Linked DNA regions of Cricetulus griseus. The protein of the gene in region 1 binds, or shares a complex with, the protein of each later gene. Links are inferred from orthologs where the notes say so. Each region holds a gene or a part of one and is shown in the gene's direction. Other genes may lie near its edges.

Region 1 (3,749 bases):
ATGTTTTTCTTTTTTGAGACAGGGTGTTTTGTAGCCCAGCCAGGTCTTGTTATGTAGCTGAGGATGACCTTAAACTGCTGCCTGCTTCCCAAGTGCTGAGATTACAGGTGTGTCCCACCATCCCTAGTGACTTCTTTCCATTCTTTCAGAGCATAATAACCCCAGAGCTACTGGTGTTCACTTATTAAATGTTTGGTGGGTGGCAGACAACTTTGTCTCCCCACACTGCAGTTATAAACACGGATTGAGCGGCAATGTGCCAGGCAGAGAACAAGAAAATATGTTACCTGGGCTGAGTACAAAGTACCGAGATTCGAGGCAATCTGTTTCCGGTACACAAAAGGGACAGGAGTTGGCGAGGAGGCCTGGTGATGAAGCCCAGCCTGAAGAGGGTGAAAAATCAGGACACCTAACCTTCCTTCAAGTAGTATGTTTCTAGAATTCTCTGTCATTTCCAGGCCTGGCCAGTAATCCCCTCCCCCAAGGCTTCAAAAACATCCCCCCACACGATTAGCTGTGGAAAGAGGTCGTAAAAGGGAAACATGGGAGAGGAGACTGATCCGAGCCTCAATACCTCAACTTCCAGTGATCTCACATTAAAACTGAAGCCCCTTTCCTCTGCCAAACGTTTCCGCGGTTCAAGTCATCTCATGGAACCTTCCTCGCTTCCCCAATTCTCTCTTCTCGGCTGTGCCACCTGCACAGCTTTATAGGCTCAACGCGTATCTCTCCCCTTACAGCAGTATCTCGAAAGGCAAGTTCACTCTCCCTAGATCGCCACCATCTCGAGGTGGGCAGGGGGCTCCGGACCAGATCCCAACCCTGGACCCCGCCCTCTGATTAGCGCGCCCTTCCCCGCCTCTCCCTGGGGCAAGAATCTCTGTTGCACAAGTTAAAGCACCGTAGGTGGAATTCACCGCAGCGGGCAGGGTTGGGGAGTAGGTCCTACATGAAGCCACCGCCAAAACCATTCGCAGGGTCGACCAGAGGAGCTTCCTGGAGCCAGAAGCGCAGGGGCAAGTGGGTGGTAACTACCAGACCGGATGTGACGCAGTGGGAGTGCGCAGGCCGGAAAGCTCGCAGGTGGCGAAGATGGCGGACAGCAGCGGTCGTGTGAGCAAGAGCAGCGGGAGCAGCACCGGGAAGGGGGCGGTGTCGGCCGAACAGGTGAGCATCCGCGAGCGCCGAGGGCAGCTCGGCCGGTGTCGAGTTCGTGCAGGAAACGGGGTCTGTGGCTTGTACCGGCCCTCAGCCCTTTCCACGTTCTCCGTGTCGCACTCGCGGAGGGAGGCGATCACGACCCCTGCTAGGGCATGCGGAGGTGGGTGTGCAGAGGAGAGCCACGTCCGCAGGCTGCAGCGGGAGCCCAGTGGGAAAGCCCTGAGCTGCGGGAGCTGGGAGGGTGTCCAGGGCCCCAAGGTGATGGGGTCGTCGTTTCCCCCGTCTCCGAGCTACTGGGAGGCGGGCCTGCTTCGGCGTTGCATCTAGTAACGAACCCCAGAGGTTATTAGTCGGGGAATTGTTTAGTCTGTGACTCTAAAACCGCGCTCACCATCGCCCACGCGCTGCAAAACCACGTGACTCAGACTCGACCGCTTCAGTCTTCTGTAACTATTTTTTTTCTGGTTTTTCGGGACAGGGTTTCTCTGTAGCTTTGGAGCCTATCCTGGCACTCGCTCTGGAGACCAGTCTGGCCTCGAACTCACAGAGATCCGCCTGCCTCTGCCTCCCGAGTGCTGGGATTAAAGGTGTGAGCCACCAACGCCCGGCCTTCTGTAACTATTTTAACTAAGGAGTCTTTAGTAGATTGGCTTTGTGGTTTAGTTTGGTTTGTTTGATGGTTGGTTGGCCTTGGGGTCGGGGGTGGAAGTTGCGACGGGGTCGCTCTATGCAGTCTTGACTTTTCTGAAATACACAGTGTAGACCAGGCTGGCCTGGAACTCAAGAGATCCGCTTGTCCCTGCTCCTGCCTCTCGAATTCTGAGATTAATAGCCTGTGTCACTAAGCCGGGCCAGGATTGTTTGGTCTTTTGAGACATGATCTCACTAAGTAGCCCAGGTTGGCCTCGAACTCGCTCACTGTGTTCTCGGAGTGGAGATTGACTTTTTAGAAGAGACCGGAAACCCTTTTCTAATCTAAGTTTGCCCCCACCCCAATACATCGGGATATGTCTGACTAATCAGAAAGCCCTTTGTGGTATGAGAACCGTGCCTTGTTAATCGTGGGACTAGTATTTAATCGATAGTAGAAGGAAAAAAAAACCACACAATTGAAATGAAAAGAATTGAGGCTAGGGATATAGCTTAGTGGGCCAAATGGGAGAGCCCTGAAGTGTAGGACATGGGAGGGTGTTAATTAATTGTTGAACACTCAGTACAGTCAGGTAAAGGTAGCCGAATAAAGAGTTTAAAACCTGCCCTATCAAAGAGCATATCTATTGGGACAAAAGGGGGATTTTCATAATTCTACTTCGAGGCAGAAAATAAGTGTTCTAAGAGAAGTAAAATGCATTGAAATTTGGAGGTAGCCTCCAATATAGTGGCTAATACTTTTATTGAGGGTCTGTCTTGTGTTAGGCTCTGCTGAACACAGAGAAACTGGTAAATGAAACAGACCTTATCTTCAACTTGGTCAAAGATCCCTAGAAATACAAGACAGCCGAGTGTGATGGCTCATACCTGTAATCCGGCTGGATTACCATGTCCATTCCAGGCTAAGCCTGGGCTACAGAGTGAAACAGTTGTAAAAACAAACATGACAGAAAGACAAATAAAACAATGAGAGTTTTAAAAAAAATTATTTTATGGGCTTGGTGATGGTGGTGCACCATTTTGTCTTAGCACTTGGGAGGCAGAGGCAGGAGGATCTCTTGAGTTCAAGGCCAGCTTGGTCTGCAGAGCTAGTTTAGTTTCAGGACAGCCAAGACTATACAGAGAAATCCTGTTTTGAAGAAAACAAACAAACAAACAAATAAATGCTGGTAAAGGCCCCTTGAGATGGCTTTTGCAGAGGCCCAAGTTTGATTCCCAGCACCCATCCATGTTGCTTGTCTCACAATTCCCCATCACCTTGGCTCAAGGGAATCCAACGCCCTGTTCTGGCCTCCAAGGCAACTCCACTTGAGTGCACATGCTATCACACAGACACACAAACATGCACATAATCTAAACAGTTTTTTTGTTTGTTTTTGTTATTTTGTTTCAGGACATAGTTTCTTTGTGTAGCCCTGGCTGTCCTGGAACTAGCTCTGTAGACCAGTCCCTGTATTTGAGAGAGATGTAGAGGCAAGAGAATTAGGAGTTCAAGTTCATCTACTCAAAGTAAATTTGAGTGTGGGTTACATGAGATTCTGTCTCAAAAAGATAAGAAAAATCCCTGTCACTTGACAGTCAAAGTTCAATGTGTGTTTTGGAGAGGACAAACCCTACTAAAACATAGCTTTATACCCCTTAGTCCCAAAACTTGTGCCCTTACAATGCAAAATACGATTATTCTGCCCCAATAGTCCCCAGAGTCTTAATTTGTTCCAGTACTAACTCAAGATTCCAGGGTCGTTTGTGCAGGGAAAAGTAGCTCATCTCCTTCCAGCATGTAATGCAGAGGCAGGCAAAGAGAGAAGTAGGCCAGAAAGGTAGGTGGGGGTGGGTGGGTGGGTGGGTGGGTGTGTGTGTGTGTGTGTGTGTGTGTGTGTAAAACAAGCCTTAAGTCTGATTCCAAGAGAGCAGGCATTGTCTTACAATTCTATAAC
Region 2 (3,749 bases), on another chromosome or scaffold:
CAGAGCTGCCCCGACATTAGGGCTAAACTTAAAATTTGGAGAAAGGACCCCTGACTCCACAGGATGAGGCCCTAAGAGTGGCTTTAAGGTGTACCATGGGAGAGATAGCCAGACCCTTAAGCACAGATACCAGATGCTAGCTGAAGCCGTCTGACTGGACTCAGCATCTGCCCGGGATCCCTTGCCCTCTGGGGCCAGAGTACCGCAGCGTCCATGCTTCAAGTGTGGTCAGAAAGGACACTGGGCCCGGGGTTGCCCGAACCCCCATGCACCAAGCAAGCCATGTCCTAGATGCCAGGAAGTAGGCCATTGGTCAGTGGTCTGTCCCCGTGTCCCAGGTGACAAGAGGACATCAAACACAGACGGCCTTCCAGTTGATCTCTTAGCCCTGGCTATGGATGAGGACTATGAATGACAGGGCCCAGGCTCTCTTGACCCGACCACCATCATCTCTGAAAGGGAGCCCCGGGTGGACATTAAAGTATCAGGGCGGTTTATCTCTTTCCTTTTGGACACTGGTGCCACATACTCAGTCCTAAAGGAGTTTTGGGGACCCACCTCTCTGTCTCGTCTTCCTATTGTCAGGGTAGGAGGACAGCCTTACTTACCTCAGCAGACTCCACCGCTTAGCTGTATTTTTAGGGGGATTCCCCTTACTCATTCATTTTTGGTTATACCGACTTGTCCTGTGCCTTTACTAGGGAGGGACCTTCTAGCTAAGGTAGGAGCTTCTATTTCTTTTGCTCCCCACATTCGCCCAACTCCAGACTCGCCAGCGGCTCCCCTCCTCCTCCTCCTAGCTACTCACCCTACAGGTTCCAGTACGTCATTTCCTTTACCAGCCTCTCAGGTAGACCCCAAGGTCTACCAGAACCCTTCTGTGGCTAGACACCATCCCCCCTTGTCATTCAGTTACAGGACCCCTCTAGGTACGTTGCTCAAGTTCAGTACCCACTCCCACTCCAGAGCCTTAAGGGACTTAAACCTATTATCTCTGACCTCCTAAGGAAAAAGCTACTTCGTCCTACCTCCTCCCCCTTTAACACCCCTATACTGGCAGTAAAAAAACCTAATGGGACTTTTTGTCTGGTTCAGGACCTCCGTAACTCTATGGTAGTGCCCCTCCATCCTGTGGTTCCTAACCCTTACACACTCCTCTCTACTATCCCCCCGACATCTCACTTCTCAGTTTTAGACCTTAAGGATGCCTTTTTCTCTATACCCCTCCACACCTGGTCTCAAAATATCTTTGCTTTCACCTGGACTGATCCAGATACTCATGTCTCCACTCAGCTCACCTGAACCTTTTAATAATAATAATAATAATAATAATTATTATTATTATTATTATTATTATTATTATTATTATTATTATTATACATCGGATCCGCTAGGGGACGACACAGAGCCTTCATAAACTCCGCAACCAGGCAATTGTGCCTTTAGTTCAAACCAGTTTGCGCATGCCCATAACTATGTCTAGTCTCCCACCCATACTCCCCCAACCGCCCTCTACTGCGCAGGGGTGAGTGTGCGTACTCCATTGGTCGGGATGCCGGAAGGGGCGGGTCCACTGAGAGCTCGCACGCCGGATCAGGGCTTCCTGTCCTCGGTTCCGTCCCGGCGGCTCACCGGCGTGCATCCCCGTGGGCTCACCGGCGTGCGACCCGGCGTGGAGATGCCCCGAAGTGGGGTACGAGCAGACTATCGCGCCGCGCCGGTGCCCCCCTACAAGTCGGATGCACGCACGGAGGCCCTTAACAGCAAGGTGCGGTGGGTGGCCGGGGAGCGCCTTCCGGCTGGGGTTCCCGGCGGCGCCCGGCAGCCCGGCGGCGTGCTCCTCGCTTCCGTAGTCGGTTCTTGGCACCCGCCTCAGGCTGCCCCTCCTTCCTGCAGACTTGCAGAGAGGGAGGCACAGAAGCTTGTCCCCCAAAAAGGGGGGGGGGGAGAGACACTGGCGGAGGTTTGGTGGGGCTGTCCCCTTACCGTCCCCCTTCCCTTCACGCGGATCTGTTGCTCTGTGGATCTGCTTCACCCTGTTAGCTACGCACCCGCCTGGGGGCCATCCTTGACATCCATCCCGAAAGTTTAGAAATCTGCCAGTGTCCTTCCAGACGCTGTCACTGGCTGTTCTGACTCAGGGTGTCCCCAGCTGCCTGTGTCCTCCACTGTGATCCTAAAATACATTTATCTGATGGTCTCTAAGTAGGACTCTTGCAAGTTAATCTTTGTCTGCCTCCCTCCCCTTTTCTCTTCCTTCCTTCCTTCCTTTCTTCCTTCCTTCCTTCCTTCCTTCCTTCCTTCCTTCCTTCCTTCCTTCCTCCCTCTCTCCCTCCCTCCCTTTCTTCCTTCCTTTCTTCCTTCCTGAGCTTTCGTGTCTCTCAGGCCAGGCGCAAACACTGTTGTTTGAGAGGGGAGCATGACCTTATTCTCTTGCCTGACAGCCATGATTTCAGGGTTGCACCACCTTGCTGAACTATACCATTAATCTTAACTTCCAATTACAGACAGTCTTTAAACATGTATAGTGGAGAGTATTAAACGTTTTAAATTCTACATTTTTTTTTTTCTGTCCCAAGTGACATCTTGGGTTAGTGACCTTATTCCCACTGTATCACAGTTTTCTTTGGTGTCAGCTAAAGTGAGATGTCTACCTGTCTTTCCTAAAATGAACATAAAACACCATACAAGCAGACTTGAGTCTCAAGGAAGATGAACTCGTGTGGCTTTGTAGTTCATCACTATAACTCTCACCTCTGCCATCGTGGAGACATAAGGATGCATACTCACTAGGGCGGGTGTGAGTTTTAAAAAAGACCTTGCTTCTTATTACTGTGTGTGATGGTGTGTGGTTACTTAAATTAGTTATTGCCTAGTTAGGCATTCATTTGATGGTCACAAACAAGCCTAGCTTAATGATAACAGCAGTATGCAGTCTTTGCCATGCAAACAGAATGATGCAAAGATGAAAAATGATGCTGTATCTCCCCAGGTAGGGCATCCAATACTATTTATCTGAATGTCTGGCTATCATCTAGTACATACATGAAAAGTAATTGTTGTTGGGGAAGGGGAGAAACACATTCATTTTCTTTTTTTAAAAAGTGTACAACAAAACTTTATAAAACTAATTAAAGGGTGGGTATTGATTTTGGTGAACAGTGGCTCACTTTGGTTAAGGTATAAGCCATGTGGTAACTGGCAGCTGGCAAGTCTAAGTCAGCTTTTCCTTCTCCAGCTGTTTTCCACGGAGTCCAGCTGGGTGTTGTTGCCCTGTAGAGTGTCCATTTAGACAGGTGGTATGTGACAGCCCCCAGTCCCATTATTCAGAATTTCCTCACCAAACATACTTTGAAAACGTCTACTTTAGGTTTTTCTTTATTTTAATAGATTAAAGAACAAAAAATTCTTGTGGATGAACTTTCTAACCTGAAGAAGAATCGGGTAAGTTACTGTTGGAATCCGGAATAGTATACAGTATATTAAAATCAGGAATTAGATCATTTATGCTAAAATTACAAAATTCTAACATACTAATTTAAAACTAAAGTATCCTAGTTTGTTTTTCATGTTTTTCTGCATGTATCAGTAAATCTCAAAGTTGACAGGATTCTTTCCCTATTACATTTTTAACAAAAAAAGAAACAATTACTTCCTTTTCCACAGCAAACTTTAATGCTCCAAGAACTTAACCTATTTAATTCCTTTTTTATGACATGTTCATAAATAAACTGCTGTCTCATGTGTAG
Region 3 (3,749 bases), on another chromosome or scaffold:
GCTGGCCTCGAACTCACAGAGATCCGCCTGCCTCTGCCTCCCAAGTGCTGGGATTTAAGGCGTGCACCACCAACGCCCGGCGTATGTGTTTATAAAATAAGCAATATTCAAATTTACCAATTGCCACAGGATATACTGCCCTCTTTATAGATTAGTACCATAATCCTTACTAGTCTATAGGCAATCTTGTGCTTTTTAAATTATCAAATGCTTATGTGAACTCAGTGAGGTTTGTTTGTTTGTTTGTTTTGCTAAAGAGGACTTGAAGGTGGAAGGGAAATGAGGTAGGAGGGGTCTGGGTGGAGTTGGAAGGAGGGAGTAGGGAGTGGATATGGCAAAAATACATTGCATACATGTTATGAAATTCTCAAAGAATAGAAATGATTTTAAAAGAAAAAAAAAAAGGTGGGGACTACATAGATGGATCTATGGTTAACAGCACTGGCTATTCTTGTAGACGCCCCAGGTTCGATTCCCAATGCTCACAAATATTCAGTAGCTCCAGCTCCAGGGGATCCGACGCCCTCTTTTAGCCTCCACGGGAACTGCACGTACATAGTGCACACGCATGCAGACAAAAAAGATAAAATAAGAAAAAAAAAACAATTAAGACCGGCGAGAAGGCTACAGAAATGGTTCGGCATTTAAGAGCACAAAAGGTTCTTGCAGGGGATGTGAACTCCGTTACTACCACCCACATCATGGGAGCTCACAACTGCATTTAACTCCAGTACCGCTGCCGCGCTCGCTCAAACATGCGCGCGCGATTCAAACAAGCTGTAAACGATTTACTCCCTCTCCCTACCTTCCTGTGCGTCCAACCTCCCTCAGAACCCGGCAAAGCTCATTAGACTTCACCCGAAACAGCTACCCGCGGCTGTCAACCACTAGCCGGCTAGCAGACAGCCCGCCCTCTGACTTCCTAGTATTCTCCAGGGTTTCCTTAAGATCCCGCCTCAGCGCTCCACTTTCAGGCGGTCTCCTCTCATTCTGGACCGCCCCTCCATGCTGGAAACACGTCATCCACCCGCGCCACCCGGAAACCGCGGTTCATTCTAACCTTAGGTGGCCCTAAGGTAAGCACGGCGCTTGGGTACCGGTGAGTGACTGCGTGTTAGAGTCGGGTTGGGCAGAAGGAGGAACCCCGTAGCATGAGCCGAAAGAAGTCATACCCAACGTTAAGAGGTTGGAGAGAACTTTGTGAAGTTAAACAGGAGCACTCAACGTGGTTTTTCTCCCTCCTCACTCCCCAGGAAGCCTATCATGGCGACACCCCCGAAACGGCGGGCCTTGGATACTGTAGGAGAGAAAGTGCTGCGGTACGAGGCCTTTATCAGTGACGTACTGCAGCGAGACTTGCAGTGAGTGACAACGCAGATTCTAGGCGTGACATTTGAGAAATTCCACGTGGTGGGTGGGACAGAATCCCGGGAAAACTTTCGGATTGGCCGGGAAGAGGGGTTGACGTCCGGGCTGCGATTTGGTTGGAACTTGGCCCTTGTAGTGGAGCCTCTGGCGTCGTTCGTCGGATTAAAATAGTCATAAAAACCCACGACATTTCTGACTGGGCCATTTAGCCATTACTTATGAAAAAGTTGTACATCACCTCTCCTCTCTGTGCTTTATAAACTTTGCTCATCTGTGGAATGGGAAAGTTTATGGAGCCTTCTTAATGTGGTGGTTTTGAGTTTTAAATGTGTCTACCCAGGTAAAGAATGTAACCCAAAGCCTAGACTGATAACACAGGACTGTAATTCCAGCACGAAGGAGGCAGAAGCAAGAGGATCTTCGAAGTTGGAGACCAGCCTGGAATATAAACTTGACTGTCTCTAAAAGGGGGAAAAAATTAGAATGAAGCCAGGCTCAGGCTCTGTGGTGCATGTCAGTAGTCCTATCTAGTGGAGAGGTGGAAAAATTCATTTCTTTAGCCAGGATGTTCAAGCCAGCCTTAACAGTAGAACATGGTTTTGATAAAATAAAGCCCAGTGTTGTGACACAGGCTTGTAATCCCTGTACTTGGGATGGGTGAATCAGGACGATCCAGAGCTCAAGATCATCCTCAGCTATATTTCAAAGATGAGTACAGCCTAGGCTCTGAGACTGTGTCTCAAAAAAAGAAGACAATGGAGCCAGCAAGATGGATTGCCTTGCTTCCATGTCCTGAGCTAGCTCTCTGGGATCCACATAGTGAAAACAAAAAAACTCCCAAAAGCTGTCCTATGACTCACATGGGTGTACCACGGCACCCATACATGTACACAAAATAAATACATTAAGTAAGAATACTTTTTAAAACTTTACATAAACCCAACTATACTACAGTTGTATTAAGGCTGAGAGGAAAGAACTGTCTTGTGTACTCACAAGTAGCCTGGGAAACTCAGTTCTTGTCTCAGAAAATAAAAAACAAATAACCTGGATAGTTTTGAAAAGGAATTTAGCTCCGGTGGATGAAACATACTAAAAACTCAATAATTAGATGATTAGTATTGCTGTCATTATTAATGTGAACAGAAAGTTTGGAACTAGAGCAGTGTGAGCATGGAAGGTATGTGTAGGGTGAAGATGGAGCATTTTAATTGGCATAAGGCACTGAGTACAATGCAGTATTTGTAATAGTGATGGATAGAAAGGATACAGTGTTTACCATTTGGCTGGCATTTTATAGTAAACACTTGAGTCTAATGGTTCCTATGAGGTAATACTGTCATCTCTATTTTATATGTTGTGAAACTAAGTCCCAAATAGGTTTCCTAATGCCAAAGTCACATTGCTAGTAAGAGTTAGAGCTCAGGATGAAATACAGTCTGACTTGTATTTATTGAAATACTTGGTGTGTCTTTCTCTGTCTATACTATGCGCTCGCTCGCTCTCATGTCTCCGTGTGTGTGTGTGTGTGTGTGTGTGTGTGTGTGTGTGTGTGTGTGTGTGTGTGTGTGTGTGTAACACAGGATCTCACTATGTAACCCAGGCTGGTCTTGAACTCATAATCTTCCTGCCTCAGTCTTTCAATTACTGGGATTACACTCGTGAACTACCATAATTGGCTTAAAATGCCTTTTAGGCCATGATGTGAGATATCTCAAGAGGAATAGGGCTGCCTAATGATCACTCTTCTATTTCCACGTATCAGAAAGGTGCTGGATCATCGAGACAAGGTATATGAGCAGCTGTCTGTATACCTTCAACTGAGAAATGTAATTGAGCGACTCCAGGTAAAGGCTTTTAAATTGGGTATCAGTTTGTATATGTGTACAAAGAAGGAAGATGGGAAGAGAAACCCCAAAACAAAACCTTTTTCCTGCCTTAAAAATTGGCCACTGACACCTACTTCTTTTCTCCTGGCCCTACAGGAAACTAAGCACTCGGAGTTATATATGCAGGTGGATTTGGGCTGTAACTTCTTCGTTGACACAATGGTGTGAGTGTATTCCCTCCCCTCCGAGTTTCTTCCTTCTTTCATGCAACAAGTATTTCTTAATATGTTCTATATACCAGACTCTGGTCACTTTTATATTGCACTAGGATGTAAGCTACATGCTGTGGGTGTGAAGTGAATGAACATGAAATACCGGCCCTTACAGAGCCTTAACTTTAGGGAACTGGAGGGAATAGGAAACACCTTCAACTATACAATGTGCTAAATGGTAATAAAGACTTCCTCCACTTCCTCTGACTTCTTTCCTCAGCCCAGATACTTCCCGCATCTATGTGGCCTTGGGATATGGTTTTTTCCTGGAGTTGACACT

What was found.
Region 2: Pfdn2 (region 1) and Asdurf share a complex: the UniProt entries of both Homo sapiens proteins name them as parts of the PAQosome complex. The link is inferred for Cricetulus griseus from reciprocal best matches to the Homo sapiens genes PFDN2 and ASDURF.
Region 3: Pfdn2 (region 1) and Uxt share a complex: the UniProt entries of both Homo sapiens proteins name them as parts of the PAQosome complex. The link is inferred for Cricetulus griseus from reciprocal best matches to the Homo sapiens genes PFDN2 and UXT.

What each region holds. Positions count from the first base shown.
Region 1 is NC_048598.1:21,547,941-21,551,689, reverse strand, and holds the start of Pfdn2 (prefoldin subunit 2), read left to right. Parts: upstream 1-1,037; 5' UTR 1,038-1,092; coding exon 1,093-1,167; intron 1,168-3,749. Other genes in the region: Nit1 (deaminated glutathione amidase), read right to left, coding at 288-383, 596-597. UniProt on the Homo sapiens protein: Binds specifically to cytosolic chaperonin (c-CPN) and transfers target proteins to it. Binds to nascent polypeptide chain and promotes folding in an environment in which there are many competing pathways for nonnative proteins.
Region 2 is NC_048595.1:402,524,942-402,528,690, forward strand, and holds the start of Asdurf (ASNSD1 upstream open reading frame protein), read left to right. Parts: upstream 1-1,570; 5' UTR 1,571-1,678; coding exon 1,679-1,768; intron 1,769-3,390; coding exon 3,391-3,444; intron 3,445-3,749.
Region 3 is NC_048604.1:125,813,324-125,817,072, reverse strand, and holds the start of Uxt (protein UXT), read left to right. Parts: upstream 1-982; 5' UTR 983-1,076; exon of another isoform or gene 1,077-1,253; 5' UTR 1,254-1,263; coding exon 1,264-1,361; intron 1,362-3,133; coding exon 3,134-3,215; intron 3,216-3,353; coding exon 3,354-3,421; intron 3,422-3,689; coding exon 3,690-3,749. UniProt on the Homo sapiens protein: Involved in gene transcription regulation. Acts in concert with the corepressor URI1 to regulate androgen receptor AR-mediated transcription. Together with URI1, associates with chromatin to the NKX3-1 promoter region.